Regions from separate parts of the Mus musculus genome. Here all the other regions are reported to be linked to region 3. The links are microRNA targets in miRTarBase. Many come from high-throughput screens and were not tested one by one. Region 3 holds a microRNA gene; each other region holds the end of a gene's coding sequence.

Region 1 (7,118 bases), not on the chromosome of region 3:
CCTTTAGTTGGTTTCTTAACAGCTACAATTTTTATGTGAACCTTTCAATGAAAAAGACATAAAATCACATGGCTGGCTACAGGCTGCCCAATTCCCTTTCCATACATTTCTCTATGTGTCTTTTACCGTTCGCCAAGGAGTATGTTTCCATCAATCATTTTGTTTTTAGATTCATAGTGAGATAGTTCACTCCTTGTAAGTTCTTTGTAGAAGCAAGTTTTTCTCTTGTGAGGCTATTCTTGGGCTTGGCAAACACAGAAGTGGATGCTCACAGTCAGCTATTGGATGGAACATAGGGCCCCCAATGGAGGAGCTAGAGAAAGAACCCGAGGAGCTAAAGGGGTCTGCAACCCTATAGGTGGAACATTATGAACTAACCAGTACCCCGGAGCTCTTGACTCTAGCTGCGTATGTAGCAGAAGATGGCCTAGTCGGCCATCAGTGGAAAGAGAGGCCCATTGGTCTTGAAAACTTTATATGCCCCAGTACAGGCGAACGCCAGGGCCAAGAAGTGGGAGAGTGGGTAGGGGGGTGGGGAGGAGGGTATGGGGGACTTTTGGGATAGCATTGGAAATGTAAATGAAGAAAATACCTAATTAAAAAAAAGGAAAAAAAATAAAACCCTGAATTGACAAAACAACAACAAACCTTTACATAGTGTATAATAGGAGCGCGGGTATGCTGATTACCTCCTATGGCAGGCAGCACATCTGCATTTGGTTGACCTGCTAACAGAGATGTCTTTCAGGTGCTGTGACATGCATGTGGATGAACGAACAGTGTAGCAGTATTATCACCGGAGGGGAAGACAGACAAATTATGTTCTGGAAATTGCAGTATTAAGTGCCTTTTCCTCTCCATCAAGTACAATTCTACTTAATGTATTTTAAACCAGACTTTAAACTGGTGAATGTGCAATGATAGTACTTAGAAGTTTTACCACATGAAGAATGTGTGGTTTCAACTTCCTAAATCATGGTGACTTCATTCAGAGCCATTTGTTGTCATCCATTAAGCAGATATAACATGGCAGTGTTAGGGGAAAGGACAGAGAACTATCAACCATGACAACAGTTTGAAGACTACTGGGTGTTCAGGATAAACCCAGTCGGACTGAGGAACACTGGCCAGCACTGGCCAGCTCAGTCCCCAAGAGGACAGTCTGTATTCAAGCTGCCCAGGTTCTGACGGTAACACGGTTCTTTGATGTGCGGTCATGGACTGGTTCCTTTCGGCAGTGCTGCGTGCCCAGATTCTTAATAACATTAAGTCTGTTACTGTGTATAGCAATGGTTTATATTTCATTATGCTACTAAAGGTTCATCTTTTCTACATTAAAAATATTTTTCTGTAATGAAAGCACTCTTATCTTATTTAAATAACTTAAGAATCACAAGTATTATTCCTTCTACAAAACCATACTTAATGAAACAAACACAATTTCATTTCTTTTGGACCTATATTCAGAACCAAGTCCAGAAAGCAAGGTGGATAATCAAACTGAGAATTATAAATTTCCAACAAGGTAGCCTATATAGAAACTGCAATGATTTTCTTACATTCAGTCTCTGACCAGCAACTACAAGATTACAAATTTTCTGAAGCATGTTATAGAGAAAAGGAAGCATGATATAAACATGTTATAGAGAAAAGGCACCAGACTAAAGTAGTAGAACCTTGAGTTAGTTTTAAGTGTCACTAATACATGTGGATGGTCTCGGGATTCACTGGAGACGCAGCAGCCTTTCCAGGTTCCTTCACTGATGTCAGTGCGCAGGGTGAAGGTAACCACAGGCTGGCCAAGAGGGATGCCCAGCAAGTGTATTTCCAGGCAGTCTCCGCTAAAGCTTCTTAAAGAACCTAGTGTTAGCCTCACAGTAAGGACTGATGCAGGCACAGACAGACGGAAATTTCACATTTTTATACATTTAATAATATCACATAAAATAATAGGATAGGCACAAGCTAAGAAAGAAAAAATCATAAAGTGTCATTGCCATTTTTGTTTATAGGACAGAGTCAGAAAATGGAACAAATTAAGATGACTAGGGAAACATTCTAAAACGACCCCAACCTAGCTAAAGTTACATAATGTTAGGACTCAAATGCCAAATTAGATATTACCCACTAGAGTGAAAAAGAGACTCCAAAATTTATTCTATTTAGTATAACAACTTTTACATGAAATATATAGCAATTTGTTTCTCAGAAAGCAATACGGCAACTCTTAGGCGTTTCCTTTATGCAGTGACTAGAAAATCTTGATACAAGTAGGCAGCTCTGCTTTACCAGTGAGCTGCTCAGGGCTAGCACAGAACAGCTTAATAGAGAGCTAACATCTCAAGTTTCAGAAGGCAGCAATAATTCTATTTTGGCTTTTATTCTAAATGCTTACTGTAGTTAAGGCGACAATTGAAGCATATTAAGTGAAGGTAGTTAAGATTAGTGACAATCATTACAGTCTCTTGCAACCTACACACAACTGTGTAATGCTTTTGTGGAATGAAAACAGTGTTGATTAATTGGAATTTTACACACTCACACAGAGAAAACTTAAAAAAATAACTATCAAAGGCAATCATTCTAAATGTACTATGCTGACGTACTAAAGTCCAAGAATGCCACAGAATTGAAGCACATGACTAGCACTGTGCTTTGTTCTAGGAGAAAGCTGACCAGGTCTCAGACACAGCTAAGCCTATACCAGTCATCCTAATCACAATGGCTTATATAAAAACATCAGGTTCCCAGTAAAGAACCCAGTCTAGGAAAGTCAGTAAATCTTTTGGGAGTCTCACATCTGTAAAACCAGGCTAAGGCTACACCCATCTTAAAATCTGAAGCCAGTATCAGATAGAGCGGGTTCCCAGCTATGAGAGAAGAGAGAAAGGTCTCCATGCAGCATATTCTCCCTGGCTCCGGGAAAGCTTCATGTGCGAAATAGACAAGTTGCCGAAGAGGAAAACTGGAAACATTCAGCCGTGATGCATTGTACAAGGGTTTAAACTTCAGGAATGGTGTGATCCATCAGGCTTTTCATAATGCTGGGAGCCATCCTACAAGAGAGCAACTCATCATGTAACTCACATCTAGTTTCAAGAAGGCCATGGTAATTTAAGACAACCCCAATTCCAGCTTAGCCCTATCCTATTGTCATCGATGAATGATCTCGGATCTAAGGAACTGATAATCAAGTTGTCAGAAACTGTCCAGAAAGAATAGCTATTTACATCAGGGATGGCTGTTAGAGAAGGTGTGCATCCTTTACACTACGACTGGCTCTTTCATTGAAGCAGCAAGGCTGTGACGAGTCAGAAAGGGGCATAAGGAACCTACCAGTAATTTAAAAGAACAAAAGACTGTAAAATAATCAACCCCTTTCCCTACTCCGAGGGTAGCTAGCTGCATTCTACCCAAAACCCAAAAATATAGACAAAAATTGCATTACAAAGGTTATGTTTATGTCTATTCCAAATCTCACTTTCATGTGCTATATCAGGACTTTGGAAGAAGTTTCCAAGGTAGCATGGTAACAGCGATGAAGGAGCATAGGAGCTGAAAGGCTCTGGAATGAATCACCCTTGCCGGCCTTTATCAGCTCTCCTGGACTCTACACTCCTCAGTTCCAATAGATAGATAGCAAGCACCGGGTACCGCTCTACTGGCTAGGATACGGGAAAGAATAGCAACAGCCACTCTTACTACCTCACAGGCAAGCAATCCGTCAGGAACCACCATGACTAGATTTCTAATATGCACAAGACCTGCAAGCTCAAAGCACTGTTCACATTTATATCAGGTGCTGGAGATCATAAAGTTGAAGAGCTATTCACTTACCGTTTAATAATGTGTTCGAAGATAAAAGTAGGCATGATTGTGATGGTAACCACAGTCCCAGCTGTTGACAGTATATCTGCAATCTGAGCATCCTGACGAAACATAATAGAGTTACATTTCACTAGGCCTTATTTCATACACAAAAACTCTTAGGTAAGAAACACACTATATTTTGATGTTGTCTTGCTGATATCTCTGACATCCCAGTCCCTGGTATGTCTAAATTTTAATTTTAATCTTACAGATAAAATTTTCTTAAGCTAGTAACAAAGTTGAAGGTACTGACCAAAAGTCCTTACTTGGGAATGGCTTGTCCCATAGACAGTTAACTGTATTCTAGAATTTATGGACTAAATTTTAATCAAAGTCTATTAAAAACAAAGTATTACGATATGCCAAACTTATTCCTTTTCTATATTTCTGGACTGAAAAAAACTGGACACGCATCCATTCAGAATGTCTAAATATTTCCCTGCCCATATTTCTATAGAATTCTAGCTCAAGGGATTCCAGGGGGGGTCAACACAAAAGTCCTGCCACCTAAATGATGTTTTCTACCCAAAAAAAAAAAAAAAAAAGATATCGAAACCAGGGTCATGTGAGTCCCTTACCTTCAAGCCAATGACGTTCTGTCCGTTGATCTCACAGATGTGGTGATCAGTGAGGAGGCCGTTTCTGGCAGCAGAACTATCTTTTACTATGGATGTGATTTTTCCACTTTTAAAGATAAAGCCAACATGTCCACTGCTGTCCTTATGCATAGTAACTGTCCGTTCAAAGGGCCTGAAGCATAAGGGTTAGACTGAAACTTCAATTTCATGTTTCAATAGACATGACATACCTACAAACTCTGCCACATGGGATATTTTGATACAGAAAGTGGTGTTTCTAACTATTATAGCTATACTGTTCCATATTACTCTAGAAGGTGTACAGACACTAATCACTTTTCTAAAACCACAAAGACAAGACCTTTCTCCCAAATCAGCATATCCTTGAGCCAGTGACCAGAAACCCTTTATATTGACCTCTCTCCCAGAGGAGTAATATAACCACAGAGCTCCAACTCACACCCATGTGAAATTAAAACAATCCACAACAAATGAAGTAAACTAAAATGCTGTATGTGCCTATTCTTAGGCTTTTTCTATTTTGCCATGTAGGATAATAACCCAAAATTCCCGTGGAGCCCACATTAGAGAATATGAGTTAGTTATCCTGCAGACTTTATTATACCATCTTTAAAACAATTGATTCACACTTCTATCAACACCTGCTTATAAGCAGGCAGCTAGTCCCTAAAGCCAGGAAATAAACCCAAAATTCCCATGGAGCCTACGTTAGACAGAATTTGAATCTCCTGTAAGACTTACTAGAGCAATATATCTTTATACCATCTTTAAAGCAATTAATTCAAACTTTCACTAATATCTGCCTATAGGAAGAAGGTAGTTGTTACTTGTTAAGCGCTCTGCCTAAAGCAGCCGACCTCTTATACCATCTGTTGGGCTCTCTACCTGGAGCCACAGACATTATTAATTAATACTTGTTAATAGCAGGTAATTATCACTGCTCTCTCTACTTGGAGTCAGTGACTAATTTTCCCTATCCTAGTTCTGAACTGCGGGTGAAATTCCCCACATGATTTGGACAAAATCTGTATATATCCTATCCTAAAAGCAAATAATGCCAATATTATAAATTCACAGTTAAATCAATATCTGCCTCAAGATGTAGGCAGCTTCCATTGTCCAACTCTCTGACTCAGAGCAGCCATCTTGTCTCTCTCCACAGCAAGGGACCTCAGAGCCCCTTTCTCTGCTTCAAGGTTCCCGTGCTTGAGTCCACGTGACTCATCCTAGCGCCACCTTTCTCTCACTTAGAAAATAAAGTTTTCCTGTATAGGGCCAGGAAGCGGAGTGGGTGGGTTGGGGAACAGGGCAGGGGGAGGGTATAGGGGACTTTTGGGATAGTATTTGAAATGTAAATGAAGAAATTATCCAATAAAAAATTCTAAAAGAAAAGAAAAAAGAAAAAAATTCTAGCTCTCAGGCTAATAATCTTAAATTTCTAGTGGATTCTTCCCCAACACATTGGTTTGCCACTTGTTGCAGGAAATAATAAAAAATGGCACCAATCTGCCTATCACTGGCTACTCTCAGGCCCAGTGACCCCACTGCCTCCATGGCTAGCCCCAAGCAGAGATGGTCCATCTCATGGTTCTCTTGACACAGATTCCACTCCCATTCCCAGCCATCCACCCCCTGTGGTCAGCGGTCCCAAATCCCAGGAACCCAGGAAAATCAACTCTAGAGGCTTGTGATTTATATCAGTAAATCCTCACCCCACAAAACGCCCACACAATGAACACAGAGCCAATTGATATTGATATAAATTGCCCACCAAGATAAGACAAAGTGTCCTGTAATTATCCATCCCTTATCAGATAGTCATAGCTACCTGTGGCTATTTAAAGCCACGCCGAATCTGGACTGGCTTTCTCTTCCTCCATCTTCCTTCCTTCTTCCTTTCCTTCCTTCTCTCTTCTCTTTCTGTCCCTGTCTCTGAAACTCTTATCTCTGCCTCCCTTCTCCTTGTCCAATCACAGGCTTCTTCTTGTATACTATTAAATTAATTGGGGGAAGATTCTGCTACACATATGGAACCCTCAGTAGCCTTTATCCGTCACATGGTTTGACTGACTCACTCCCAAGACCTCCTCCCGTTATGAATGAGAGAAGAGCATAGTGCTCTGTGGAGCTACTGATACACATTTCCTCTATAGTCCAGTTACCTTACAGTAACAGTGAGACAGCTTTTCCACTAAACCACTGAGTCCCTTCAGCACTTCTGATCTTAGGACACTGACATCTTAAAACTTCACTGGAGGCAGGTGGATTTCTGAGTTCGAGGCCAGCCTGGTCTACAGAGTGAGTTCCAGGACAGCCAGGGACACTCAGAGAAACCCTGTCTCAAAAATCTCAAAAAAACAAAAAACAAACAAACAAACAAAAAAAAACCCAAACCTTCACTGTGTTTGTCACATCTCAATTTTGAAATTTTTAATGACTTTTCATTTGTTTCATTTATTTATTACGTGTACATATACATAAAGTGTAAGTTGCAGGAGTAAGCTCTCTCTACCGTGGGAGCTCAGGGACCCAAGCCAGGTTGCTGGGATTACAGGCAAAACTTTGCTCTAATTTGAAGAGAACAGGCCTCTAGTGTCTGCCTCAGCAGCTGTCACGCCACTTAACACTCGCTGACTTTCTAGAACCCTG
Region 2 (7,118 bases), not on the chromosome of region 3:
TTTTGTGTATGGGTTGGAGTCAAGAGGACAACTCAGTGGAGTCAGTTCTCTGACTCCACCTTTACTTGGGTTCTGGCGACTGAACGCCAGTCTCCAGGATTGTGCAATAAGTACCTCTATCAGCTGATTGAATCACATCACCATTCCTAGTTTAATTTTGAAGCTCTAAATAAGCAAGCGGTAGAGAAGAAGTTCTAGAGACCTTGTCTAGCATGTATGAGGATCAGAGTCTTCTGAAGTCCTACACCATAAGAAAAATCAGCAAGACAAAACTGATTATAATGGTTTTATTTACAATTGTTGTCACATTTAAATTACAATAGAGCATTTGAACTTTTGGAACATGTTCTACTCCCCTGAAGAAAATTAATACAATCAGTTGTGATAATGCAATGGAGATGTCTTTATAGACTTTCATCAGAAATATAAAAATACTTTATACTTTTAGTGGTATTTCTCCTAGTGTGTTGTTTGCATATTTTTTCTCTTGAAAACTGGCATAATTATTTTGTTCCCTTAACATACCAAATATATATCATACAGACATATGATGCTAACTACTGAAGGTTTGTTTATAAAGCATATTTAAAATTTTTCAACTGAAATGTAATTTTCTTTTTAAGATAGAGACTCTCGTAGCCCGGGCTAGCCTAGAGGTGACTATGTAGTCAGGGCTGATCTTAACCTCCTGATTCTCCTGCTTTCACCTTCCATGTGCTGAGATCACAGGGGTGCGCTATCATGAGCAGCTGAGGTAGAATAAATTGACTTAAGGTTTTAAAGTTCTCAGTGCAAAGAGACTTCTTGCTGCATGTTTTCAAAACACCCTTGGATGTTTAATGGGATAACCAGATGGCATCTCATTAAACACAGTTTAACAGGAAAAAAACAAAAACACAACCAAACTTCTTCAATGGAACCTTAAAATAATAGAAAGATGCACTCTTTTATGGGTAACCTAAAAAACATAGAATGTACTTCATTTCCAGAGTTCAGAAAATCTTCATCAGAGGTTCTTTTATTGTTGAGAATAGCTTTTGCTATCCTAGGTTTTTTGTTATTCCAGATGAATGGATGCCAACAAGAGCTTGCTGACAGGAGCCTGATACTGCTGACTCCTGAGAGGCTCTGCCAGTGCCTGACAAGTACAGAAGTGGATGGTCACAGCCAACCATTGGATGGAGCACAGGGTCCCCAATGAAGGAGCTAGAGAAAGTACCCAAGGAGCTGAAGGGATTTGCAGACTCATAGGAGGAACAATAATATGAACTGACCAGTACTCTCAGAGCTCCCTGGGACTAACTAAACCACCAATCAAAGAAAACACATGGTGAGACGCATGGCTCTAGCTGCATATGTAGCAGAGGATGGCCTAGTCACTCAACAGTGGGAGGAGAGACCCTTGGTCCTGTGACGGTTCTATGCCCCAGTATGGGGGAATGCCAGGGCAAGGAAGCAGGAGTGGGTGGGCTGGTGAGCAGGGGGAGAGGATAGGGAATTTTTGGAGGGGAAACTAAGAAAGGGGATAACATTTGAAATGCAAATAAAGAAAATATCTAACAAAAATCATTTAAAAAAAGAAAATATTCACATGTATAAGTCAGAAATCCAAAGGGAATCAGTCTCAACATATTTTGATAGAAATCTCAGTGAACAGCACATAAGTTTGATAGAAATCTCAGGAAGTGGCACAGAAGACAAAAAATGTTGTGAACAAAAATATATGCTATTGTTTATTATAAGTGCTGAGGATGGAACTTGGGGACTTGGGCTTGGTATGCAAGTGACCTACACCTAAGCCATATCCCCGGCCCAGTAATAAATGTTCATATATATTTTCATCTCTGGTGTGAATTTTGCTGTATGAGAATGCATTGTTCCATATGGTATTTTCTCCCCAAGTAGTAGACACTCCTTTGATGAACTTAAACAAAATATTGGTCAGTACAGAAAGGATGTAAAGACTTCTATGGAATGAACTGACAAGTGGTCTTTAGCACTTACCTGTAGACTTCTTAAATCTCTCACTACATAAAAAAGTGAAACGAATCTACAATTGGTACAAATTATATACATTTATTAATAATTTTAAATAACACTCTTGTATAAATTCTTTCATATATTCAAATCATACACAAATTTAGAAATGCATCATGAAGCCTAGTACAGCACACATATGAGACATGTTTTTAAATTTTGGGTTAGGATTTTAGTGACATAAATACAAGTTTAATTTTTAGAAACATACCCTAATTGATTGGACTGACATTTAAGAGTAAAGAATGCTTGTGCCTAGCATTAAAAGTGGACTAGAAGTCATTTAGCTTTGGGCAAGCTTGAATCTGAAGCTCTGGGCTCACTCCAAGGCTGCTGAACTTTCCGTGTATGCATAAGTAACAAGGAAGATTCTCAATGTCTTTGAAAAAGTATCATTCAAACCACTAATGTTTTAATGATCCACAATCTTTAGCCATTCAATATTATTTGACTTCTTCAGGTTAATCACCATGTTCCTGCTGCTTAGCCATTTGCTCAGAGTGATAGCAAAAGACAAATTAACCGTCTGTCACCTTCCCCAGCTCTACAACACAGACAGACACCAAACCTCTTAAGTCCTAAACCATTTGCTGTCAAAAGTACCAACAGACTAAAGGTATTTATTTATTTATTCATTTATTTATTTGTGTATGGATTAGGTCACAACTTCTGTTGTCCTAATGATTTCACTGAATTCTTTTAACTTATTCTGAATATGAATATTTTGTCAGAGAGCTTTCCTTGAAAGATGCAGAAACCCACCTCCTACCCACACACCACTTCAAACTACACCAAGTCAGAGAGAATCATCAGAATTACTTTTATGTTTATAAACATAAAAAAAGCAGAGGACCAGGGTGAATGGTGAATAATAAAGCTCTAACTGACTCTTATTCTAAACCACAACATCTTGATGATCAGATAACTCAAATTAACTGGTAGACCAGTGAGTATTGCTTTGATGACTAATGATTCTGGAAATATTGGGACTAGGGAAAAGTAATATAATTTGGGATTTAGATAGTCTTGTTAAAAGAAAAAAATGAAACAATAACAACTAAAAACCAAATCAAAACAACAATAAAAACCTACCCTCCCAGCCCATGTCTGTCCTGTTGCTCTCCCTTAAAATCTAAGTATCCCTGGGAAAAATAATGTACTGGGTCCACACCATGTTCATATAAATAAGAGATTTTAATTATCATTTTGCTTTCTCTGGAGAGACTGTAAATAGGAGAGTCCTTGGAGGCAATGTAGGGGATGGTGGTGGTAAGGGAACAAAGGCATGGTTGACAAGTACAACATCCACCTTCAGAAATGCACAGGACTTAATCAGGGGAGCTATTGAAGGCGCAAGCATTAGTTCCTTCCTAGCACTGACATCCATTTCTCATTAAGGTCATGTATGTAGTATATTTTAAAAACAACATTTTCTTTATGCTTAGACAAAAATTGTTCCAGCATCGGGCTTTGCAGAGGACTCGTGGCATTGGGTGATAATGTCTCCAGAGGAATGAAAACCCAGCAGCATGTTTTATTCTGGTTTCCTACTCTACTTTCAAGGAGAGATCACCTCATGGTTGATCTTTACAACAAAATAATTTGTATAAGCAGAGCAACGGGGTCACTAAATGATGTTATTTACAACACATTTTAAGGCTATAGCTTTTTTCATTGTGAAAAACATGATTTAGGAGCAATTAACAGGTACTTGATAAATTTGTGGTTTAGTTTCTGTGTTATCTCTTAAGATCTGTATCATGGAATCTCTATTTAGCTGGAATCTCGACTGTTTACTTTGGCTCTTAAACTCATATAAACATTTATTTATTGTGTGAACTGTTTAACAAACGTTTGGCTTTTATCTCCTTTCCACTTATTTTGGCAGGAGATGGGGTATCTGGGAGGCAGCCATTGTGCTCAGCACTTTGGAACTCTGTGATGTATAGTCAATACACACCTGTGCTGCAACTGCTAGGAAAAGTCTCTCTGCTCCCCTCCCCAATTCAGGAATTCATTCATTTTAATGAACTGGCAGCTTTACCTTCTCGTCATTAATCTTGTCTTTAGGTAGAAATCCATGTGTGTTCTTTCAACAAAGTCCTTAGTATCTATGTGGCCCTGAATTGTGCCTGTGAGTTACATACTTCCCCTACCCCAATATATACACATGGTATGGCGGGGTGGGGGGGGGGGTAGTATTCTAGAGAGCATACAAGGGCTCTATTAGAAGCATCCACAAATGGGAATTTCCATTCCAGTCTTCTAGGGCCCATGGCTAGTAGATTTATATGTATCACATAGCAAAATGACAATGAAGTAGAGGTGAGAACTGATTCCAGGAATAATAATGATGATGTGCATGGTATAGCGCTGAACAACTTAGACTCTCTGTGCCTCAGTTACTTCATCTATGAAATGAGCACAAGACTACTTCCTAAGGAGGCTAGGGTGAGGATCAAAGAACACATGGAAAGGTGTTTTTTAAATGACAAAGGGCAAAATATTATTAATATATTTTGTAATTCTAAGGATTAAACTCATAGACTCATATGCTAGGCAATCAGTCACTTGTAAATTGTTTTAGTACAATGAGATGTAATGTCTACCTTTATAAAGACAGCCAAAAATGCAGAGCACACCCAGGTTACCTATGGATCCTCTAGTATACAGTCATTTCTAAACCCTGAGAAAAAGGTGAGGTCTCCTACAAAGGATGACCAACGTCTTTATTTTTCTGAGGAAGTAAGAAAAGGAGTCTGAGCTTCCTAGGTCTACTCTGTTTTGTTTTCCCCTACTTCATAGTCTGAGTCACTTTTCTTGGCTCTCAATCTACAACCTATGGATGCATAACAAATGAAAGCAGCAGTACTTGGCCTCAGGGAAAATGGCATCAAAAAGCAAGGACTAAATACACACCCATAGTGACCCTCTGCCCAGATATGAAGATGGATGAACTCCAGCACTGAAGAAGCCAAACAGTCCTCATGGTGCATGGGTGACAGGTTATGCTCAAATGTCAGAGGCCTTTATTTTGGCAGATATGGGAGGCACATAAATATTTTATGGGCATAAAAACAAGAACCCCGAAGTGATGTGATGGCTTTTCTTTTTAATTTAAATTTTCTGTCCTTTGGAAGACTGTCTTTTACATTCAGGAAAGAAGTCTTTTCCTGAGGAGTTTACACTGAGCAGTGTAAAACAGAGTGGCTAATTAGGTGTGTCTGGAGAATGCAGCCTGTGTTCCAGTTTCGCAATTGCAGACTTCAAAATCTATTGCTTGAATCTATGGTAAGTCAAAGAGCATATGACTCTAGGTTGAGAGAGGAAAGATTAGAAACATTTGACCTCTTATCAATTTCAACAGTGTCCAAATAGGGACTAAAATGACTGATGCTCACCAGAGTCCCAGCTCTAGCAATATTGTCACCTATTTTACAGTATTTTAACCAAGTTCCCATATCTTCTTTTTACAACACCATTAACTGCTATACAGATAAAGTCTAGATGATAAAATAGGACATGATTTTTTACAAATAGATACAAGTACAATGTTGACCAGATAATGCTACATTAATTATGTACACCTTGTTTCTTTAGAGGCAGGAACCTCTTTGAGGAGACCATCAGCTTTCTGCTCTCTGCCTGCTGTGCCTACCCTCACCATGGAAGCTTATCCTGTGCTTTAACTCCATTTTTGAAGGAGACTCTTAGAAGGAAAGCCAAGCCCTTCTACAGAACTTCTTGGCACCTTTCTTAGTCTACACACAACCAAGATTTTTTTTATTAGCCTAGATATCATCTCTTCCTAAGTTACATCTCTTAGTACAGTAAAATGAACACAATCCCTGCCTCTCTTTTATAAAATATGTTTCCAAAGTGGAGATGAATTCTTCCATCAGTCTTTCCCCTCCACATCAACATTCTATCACATCTGGTGAGGTGAACACTTTCCGAGCAGTCCTTTGAGAGGCCAGGTAGACTTAGGCTGCTCTGTGGGATTCAGCCTTTCCATATATACATGTGGTTTGCTACAAAAATATACTTTACTTCAAGTCCTCGATGATGAGTGCTTCAGATCTTCATGGGGGAATTAAGAGCAACAGACAGGCTAAGCGCACTACAGTTTGTACCTGAACATTTGCACAATACCTTTCTCAACAAACTCTACCTAGGCTCTGTGCAGCCAGAGGTCAGGTGCTGTTTAAGTGAGCACTGTTTTCTGACAATCCAGGAGGACAACTCAGCTTCTCAGGCTTTGTAGTTATGAATAGGTGTTGTCAGGGTCAGCTGCCCATTGGGAGCCACTTCATTGGCATCGTCCTCTAACAATCCCGACACATCTGCATTGGGGATGCTGTCATGGTAGCTGCTGAAACTGATATTGTCTTCTTTCAGCTCGATGGTCCAAAAGGGAGCATTGAGTTTCCGATTTTGGTACTCTCGGTACATGTACACAGCTCCTACAAATCCCATTAGCAGCACTACCACAATGATGATGACTGTCAAAATGATGATGTTAAACTGGGTCCATGATACATCAGCAAGAGCTGAGGTGCTGTTTTCAGAAGAGCTTACTGCAAAGATAGTCTGCAGGGTTGTGGGGGCAAAAGTACTATTTATAACAGGGGTGGGCACTGATGTGGTCAAAGAGGCATTGGAAACCAAAATGGTAGAACCTTCAGGAGTTGGAACAATAACTTCTGAAAATAAAAACAGAGAATGAAATGTAAAAGACAAAATTATCTAGTTTTGAGAAACAATAAAAGAAATACACATGAAAGTGAAAGTTGATATGGAATGTTGACATGGTACTCTGCTTAGAGGAATGCAAGTTAAAAATAATTTTTAAATAAATACAATGATAAGAAATGGAGTCTGGAAAGCTCATTTATTACATCTTACATCCAGGTCTGTTCTTTAATGTGTATAACACCTACACCAAACCTTTAGAAAAATTCTAACATGGACGTTTTCCACCCTTCTTATCTATCATGGACATTTCTGCAAAGGCTGTAAATATGTCACCATTAAGCTCTAAATCATATGGTTTAAAATGAAAATTTTCTGACATAGAATAT
Region 3 (7,118 bases):
AACCACCATCAGGGAAGGCAGACTTGGGAGGGGAAAGTGGCCCCAGGTCCTGCTCTGGCCCCTGCAGGCCTGATAAGCACGTGCTAGGCTGCTACCCTGATAGTGGTCAGCGTATCGGGGATCCCAGGTTATCTTGCCCAGGCCCAGACTCTGTTCCTGCTCCACACCCTGATTGCAGAAGCCCCCACCCACAGTTAGAGGCCACGGCCACAGGCTCTCTGGCTGGTAGAGATATCTCTGCCCTCTACTCCCAGGAACACTCACTTCTCTCAAACTCACCCTGGGGTCTGGCCTGAGCAGCGCAGTGGGCAGCCCTGGTGTGGGAAGGAGCTTGGCTGTCTGTGGCTCCTAGAGTAGAGGTGGCTTTGGAGGGTTACAAGAAATGAAAGGGAGGCAAGAGATGACATGGCCAGAGCACTGATGGTGACATTTTCTCACCTCTGTGACCCACAGCTTGCTGGGCCATGCAGTACTCCTGAAGCTCAGAGAAGAGCAACTTGCCACCAGCCACACAGCTAATGAGGCAAAGAGAAGGAGAGACAAGAGGCACATTTGCAGTGTGCTGGCCCTCACCATCACCCCAGAAGGAGGACACCAAGAGCTCCATCTTACATTTGAGGAAACAGAGGCTAAGTTTGGTTCTAAGTCACAGAGCTGGATGTAGTGAGCTGTGACTGCCACTCGGGGCCTGTCACTGCTAATGCAGGGCATTCTCAGGGTTTCCAAAGTGTTTTCAAGAATATTCCATGGGAGCATGGAATGAAGGCAGATGCCTACCTATAATTTGGCATGTGAAAGCAGGATCAAGTTATACAGGAAATTCCTGGCCAAACTCAGACACATACGAAAGCAAGCAAGCAAGCAAGAGGGAGGGATGGGAAAAGGGAGGGAAGGAGGGGAGACAGAGAAAGACAGAATTTCAGATGCCTAACAGAAGCCTGCCTTCCCTGTGGTCCTCTGTGGGTAGCAGAGCAGACTTGGGCCTTCGCTTATTTGAACTCCAGTGGCTAGCATCTGTGCCTTGTAAAAGCACTTTATGCAAGTCAGCCTGCTGGCAAAGGCCTGTAATGCCAGTTACTTGGGAGGCTTGAGGCAGGAGGATTAAAAAAAAATCAAGGGCTGCCTAAACTATACAGTTAGCTTCAATGTCAGCCTGAGCAACCCAAAACAGAAAGTGAAAAGAGGGGCAGAGGGCGGAGGTGCAGTGGAGTTGTTCCAATGCTTGCTCACAGCCGTAAGGCTCTGGGTCCATTCTCAGCACTGAAGAAACCTGGCATAGTGGTGAAGGCCTGCAGCCCTTGCACTCAGTAATCAGACACAGGAAGCTCAGAAGTTCAGTGCCATCCTCAGTTACAAATGGAATTTGAGCAGGTGGTGATAGCACAGGCCTTTACCCCCAGCAATCAGAGGCAGAGGCAGGCAGATCTCTGTGAGTTCAAGGCCAGCCTGGTTTATAGTTTCAGGACACAAGTCTACAGAGAAAGCCCATCTTCACAAACAAAGGAAAATAGAATGTGAGGCCACATGAGATTCTGTTTCAGTAATAAAAGGAGACCATGGCAAGATATTGCACACCTCTAACCCAAGCACTCAGGAGGCAGAGGCTGCCAGATCTCTAAGTTCCAGGCCAGCCTGGGCTACATACAAAGTTCCAGGCCATCCAGGGATACACAGTGAGATCCTTTCTCAGGACAAAACAAAGAAACAATAATAAAAGCACTGTCACTCATACCTACATAAGATGTGTCTTTAAAGAAAATTAAAGGCCGGGCGTGGTGGCGCACGCCTTTAATCCTAGCACTCGGGAGGCAGAGGCAGGCGGATTTCTGAGTTCGAGGCCAGCCTGGTCTACAAAGTGAGTTCCAGGACAGCCAGGGCTATACAGAGAAACCCTGTCTGGAAAAACCAAACCAAAAAAAATAAATAAATAAATTAAAGAGTGAATAGATAGAGAAGCGTCCCTGTGGCAGGGACACTTAGGGACCTGACAGTGCTAACTAGGTGAGGGGAGATCAGGCATGGCAGAGGTGGAGCAATGCTGGAAATAGACACCTCCACAGAACCGAAGGTTAGGTCTCTCCTCCCACTCCCATTCACCACCCCTCACCCCCCACCCTCAAAGGAAGAAACAGACCAGACTGTCTAGGATAAGAAAGGGGGCGGAACATCCCCCAGAATGAGGGTCTAAATAGCAGAGGCTCAGCTGTGGGGAGTGTCTCAGCACAAGTTTCTGCTTCTCCACAGGGAGAGACCCAAACATATCAGGCTCTCATTGTGTCTTGAGCTCTGATGAAATGCCCCGGCCCTTACACTGGCTCCCACAAGGCCTGGGGGCTGAGGTGCTCCTCAGCTTCCCAGCAGAGGCCCACTTGTCCACGGACCTTGCCAGAGGTGGCTTGCAAGCTTCAGCTCTGCCCACCCAGCTCAAACAGAGTCAAAGCCTAGGGATGGAGTCAGGCTGAGGGTACATGGAGCCTGCTCCCAGATAGATTCCATCTAGGTCCAGTTGCCAGGACCTCCCTGTCCTATTCAGATTCAACTAACATTCCCATCATCACCCACAACAAACTGGGACCTTTCAGCGAGGCCCGAACAACTAAGCCCTGAAGGACGTGGTGAGGGTCTTTCTCTTTCCTAGCCCAGTGGGGTAGGCAGGTAACCTTCTTTGTGGGGTTGGGGGTGAATGGTCACCCACTTAGAAGACGGGAGGCAGGGTGGCGGTGTAGTGTCAGTGTTGGGGTTCTTGGCTAGCATCTTCAGCCTTCAGTTTCATTCCCAGCACAGGAAACTAAGCAGAAGATAAACAAAAAGGGAGCCAAGCCTCAGCTTGTCTCAGGAAGCCAGCAGGCAAAGAGTTAAGAAGCAGGGACTTCTAGAACCCGGGAAAACGTGCCCCACCCAGGGGAGGGGCCAGAGGGTTAAAAGCCAAGCTGCTTGAGTGAGAAGAGACAAGGCAGGCTCTCCCTGTGCAGAGGATTCCCTGGACGAGGCTCCAGCTCCACTCCAGCTCCAGGTAAGCAGTCCTTGGAGTGGCTGTCAGCCTGCTTATAGGTCTGCCCAGAGGGAAGCTCCTGCCTCACAACTTCGTTTCTGCCTGTAACTCTGGATCCCTAAGAGACCCGAGTAGACCTTAGCTTCCTTCTCTAAGCCACCTGGGGTTATCCTGGACCACAGGATCAGGGAGATGCTGCTCTGGGAGGGAAGTGGAGGAGCAGAGGTAGGGACTTAGGTGTCCCTGACTGACCCTGAGCCAATCCCCTGGCTCACTCCAGGCCTGCTGCTCACCTCCTCCTCCAGGACCTTGGCTGGGATATCATCATATACTGTAAGTTTGTGATGAGACACTACAGTATAGATGATGTACTAGTCTGGGTACCCCACCTCCAGAGCCTGCCTGGTTTGCAGCAGAGATGCAGAAGTACACGGGCTCACTGCTCGGCCTAATCAAGCCTGCTGACAGCTGTGGCACTTGGGAATGGCGAGGAAACCGTTACCATTACTGAGTTTAGTAATGGTAACGGTTCTCTTGCTGCTCCCACAAACTGTGCCAAGAAGAGCTCATGACCCTGGAGCAGACTGCTGGAAGAAAAGGACACCCAGGCTGACAAGAGAATGGGGTTGGGGGAAAGGGTACATTTTCCTCTTCACTGTGCCAAAGAAATAAAAGATAAGAATAAGAGCACTTGTCATTTAACTTTATTAGCATCCGAGGCTGGGTGGTTGGATGGGATGGGAGGACCTTTGTGAGTTTAAAGCTAGCCTGATCTATGTAGAGATAGCCAGCCAGTCAGAGTTGTAGGGTAAGAACCCGGTCTCAAAAAAAAAAATAATAATAATAATAAAAGAAAAAGGAAACACGGGTCCTTATGCAACTTCAAGGTGAGGAACTTGGGGGAGAAGAGAAAAATTGTGTTCCTACCAACAACTGGAAACTCAGGGCAAGAGTTTGGTTCCAATGCTAGCGGGGTGGACATGACTTAGAACCATGGGTTCTAGGGTGTGGTTCAGCATGTATCCTATACAACTGACTGAGACCCTAGGCAGAGGAACGCCCCGAGAACTGAGCTAAGTGGAAACATGGTTGGGCAAGCACTGTGCAGACTCGGCAATGCCAGGCTGGCTGGCACAGGACCTTCACAGGACCAAGGGCCTCTCCTCCCATTGATGACCGACCGACTAGGCCATCCTCTGCTACATATGCAGCTGTAGCTATGGGTCCCTCACAATGGAAACCAGTCAGTGTCCATGGCCCTTCCCAGTCCTGTAGACCCCTCTGACAGGGGTAGTTCTAGTCAGTGACTCTGCCAGCAGCTTGAGCAGGGATCCACTGGGAGAAGCAACAGAGGATGGTCATTTGAGGAGTTTCACAGAGAGGCGGATGAGAACGTCACAGTGGAAGATGTCCATGAGGTCCCGGCCCACCTCCTGTGCAATCTGGGAGATCAAGAGGCCCTTCTGACCAATCAGGATCCTCTGCAAGTAGTGAAAAGAGAGGCACATGGTTCTGCTCTTGGCCTCACAGATGGGGAAGAGGCCATGGGTAACACTGCTACCCTTCTCTGAGCATCCCTCACTTACCACATGAGATTCTTTGGGCACCAGAAGGTTCTGTTGGATCACTAGCTCTCCACTTGGTCCTTCCTCCCATATCACTGTCTTCTGTATAAGGAGACATCAGGACTAATCAGGCAGGCTCATCTCTGTATCTCTTGGTACCCAACTGTTCCAGGGGTGTGCCTGGTATACAGGCACTGTGTCCTTTTCCTCTGCCCACACCTGCTGCACACCGTAGGGCACCTCCTCAGGCAGGTACTCTAAGAGCTTCTCTCTGATTTTATTGGCACAGATCTCTTCGGGTGTCTGGCTAGTGAGCACACCACTGTGGAACTCCCAGGGTCCTGGCTGGGCCTGTGTCAGAAGGTATTGCTGTGGGAACAAAGGAAGAGTAGGTTCTTAACCCCCATCAGAACATTTGTTTATGCATGCTTCTAGGAGGAAAAGGCTATGACCCATCCTCATGTAGCCCAAGCTGACCTTAAAATTACTACATAGTAGCTGACTACAGGGGCGAGCTGCCACAACTGACTGAAACACCTTTAAGAGAGCATCTCAGGCAGATCAAGCTGGCCTTGTCCATCCTCGTTTGTCCAGGCTGGGAATGAGCCTCCAATCTTCCTGTCTCTATCTCCTAAATGCTATAGTAGCAGGTGTGCACCCACGTGTGTGTCCAGCTTATGTGGGGCTAGATACTGAATCCAGCACACGAGACAAGCATTCTACCAACTGAGATACATTCCTAACTTTGTTTCTGGTCTCTATGTTGCTTGGCTGGCCTAGAACTCACAATGGAAACCAGGTTGACCTCAAACTGAGTAATCCTTCTACCTCTGCCTCCTGAGTGCTGGGATAACAGCTGTGTGCCACCACCCCTGGCTGTTTTCTGTTTCCTGAGACAGGGTCTCATTGTAACTGAAGCTATTCTTGAATTCACTATGTGGTTAAAAATGACCTTGAAATCCTGATTCTCTTGCCTTGGCCTTTCAAATTCGGGGATTACAAACATAAATGACCAGAGCCAGAGTTTTGTTTTGTCTTTTAAAAGACAGGATCTCGGTGGATATCAGGCTGGTCTGGATGAGGCCTATCGTAACATGGTAGAAGTGGTGGATTATGGGCAAGGCTAACTGACCTTCAATGTGTTCACATCCTTGTTGTTTAGTGCTGATAACATGAAGATCTCCTGGAAGTAGGGCCAGCCAATTCTCTGAGGGTTCCTCACTGAGTGTGCATTTGGGCCCTCAGTTTCAGGGCCAGGGCAGTGGGTGCTGGAGCGTGAGCGCAAGGCCTGCTTGATATTAAGCTTCTTGCCATTGACAACACCTTCAGTGAGGGCTGCTGTCAGCTCCAGGAGAACTGACTTCTGCTTCAGGCAATCTACCTGGACATGCGGGATGAACAAAGTGCATGGTGAGAGCCATGGGACTCTGGAAGGAAAACTCTCTCACGTGGGCAGTCCTTACCTTGTTTAAGACGAGGATGCTAGGGACCTGAGAGAACTTGGTCAAGCACTGCAGCACCTGGGGGTTGAGCCGACTCCTGGTCCACTTGTCTGACACATCCACAAGAACTACAACTAGAAGGTGGCAGACAGACAAAAGGATATCTGTAACCTTCCTCCTGACCCACGACAAGTTCCTGGCTACGGGCCCCAGCCAGACCTCGGCTCCCAAACTCCCAGGAATGAAAGGCCCCATTAATAGGGCTTCAGATCTTTAGTTTGAGTCTAACCAAGATCAGCAGATTCCATGCTCGTCCATGGATCTTCCAGCAAAGAGCGCTCCAGATGGTGCCTAAAGAACAAATGTATCAGTCAGGAAGGCTTATGACTGGTCAGTTCTTATGAGGAATGGTAGATAAAAGGGAAAACTTCCAGCTCCTATGAACAAATATCCCCTCCCCCTTTTCTCCTCTTTTTAAAAAAATCACCCCTCCCCCAACAAACACACAAGCATGTGTCCCCATAGCTAATACCTCTTCTGTTTAACAGGACTGATGATGCCAGGTGTGTCAAGCAGAATCTAGAATCAGAAAGATACCCACACCGCCCCCCCAAAAAAGAAAAGATTTTTAATGGACTAGTGGAGAAAAGGGCCACACACACTTTAAGTCTTAGGATTCAGTCCAGGGCTTTACTCATATTAGGTAAGTATTCAAGGATTCTAACAAGAATTTGCAGAGTCAGGCTGGTGAGATAGCTCAGTGGATAAGAGCACTGACTGCTCTTCAGAAGGTCATGAGTTCAAATCCCAGCAACCACATGGTGGCTCACAACCATCCGTAACAAGATCTGACACCCTTTTCTAGTGTGTCTGAAGACAGCTACAGTGTACTTACATATAATAAATAAATAAATCTTTAAAAAAAAAAAAAGAAAAAAGAAAGCCGGGCGTGGTGGTGCACGCCTTTAATCCCAGCACTCCACTTGGGAGGCAGAGGCAGGCAGATCTCTGAGTTCGAGGCTGGCCTGGTCTACAAAGTGAGTTTGAGTCACAAGAGGCTTTTTATTTTTTAACTTTTTTACTTTGCCAAGGCCTCACTTGTAGTCCTGGCTGTCCTGG

The links. The annotated mature microRNA mmu-miR-451a reads AAACCGUUACCAUUACUGAGUU and lies in region 3 at 3,485-3,506, shown strand. An mRNA with a match to its seed (bases 2 to 7 or 8) in the 3' UTR can be bound and repressed. Matches are read on the target gene's strand: a 7mer-m8 pairs with bases 2 to 8, a 7mer-A1 pairs with bases 2 to 7 and ends in A, and an 8mer does both.
Region 1: the mRNA of Nsmaf is a reported target of mmu-miR-451a. The part of its 3' UTR that is shown has no 7-base or 8-base seed match.
Region 2: the mRNA of Megf9 is a reported target of mmu-miR-451a. The part of its 3' UTR that is shown has no 7-base or 8-base seed match.

The regions. Positions count from the first base shown.
Region 1 is chr4:6,390,448-6,397,565 of GRCm38, reverse strand. It overlaps Nsmaf (neutral sphingomyelinase (N-SMase) activation associated factor), which reads left to right. Exons shown (of 31, transcript NM_010945.2): 31 at 749-1,359. The coding sequence ends at 843. Sdcbp (syndecan binding protein) reads right to left here. Exons shown (of 9, transcript NM_001098227.1): 7 at 4,449-4,620; 8 at 3,838-3,929; 9 at 1,444-3,056. The coding sequence ends at 3,002. Among named protein-coding and RNA genes, the nearest start is that of Sdcbp, 28 kb to the right of the region's middle.
Region 2 is chr4:70,426,792-70,433,909 of GRCm38, forward strand. Megf9 (multiple EGF-like-domains 9) reads right to left here. Exons shown (of 6, transcript NM_172694.2): 6 at 5,136-6,740. The coding sequence ends at 6,289. Among named protein-coding and RNA genes, the nearest start is that of Cdk5rap2, 20 kb to the left of the region's middle.
Region 3 is chr11:78,069,702-78,076,819 of GRCm38, forward strand. Mir451a (microRNA 451a) reads left to right here and starts at 3,469; the gene lies at 3,469-3,540. Eral1 (Era (G-protein)-like 1 (E. coli)) reads right to left here. Exons shown (of 10, transcript NM_022313.2): 4 at 6,532-6,578; 5 at 6,289-6,350; 6 at 6,021-6,133; 7 at 5,690-5,938; 8 at 4,777-4,926; 9 at 4,579-4,659; 10 at 3,675-4,473. The coding sequence ends at 4,351. It overlaps Mir144 (microRNA 144), which reads left to right and starts at 3,304; the gene lies at 3,304-3,369. Mir451b (microRNA 451b) reads right to left here and starts at 3,540; the gene lies at 3,469-3,540.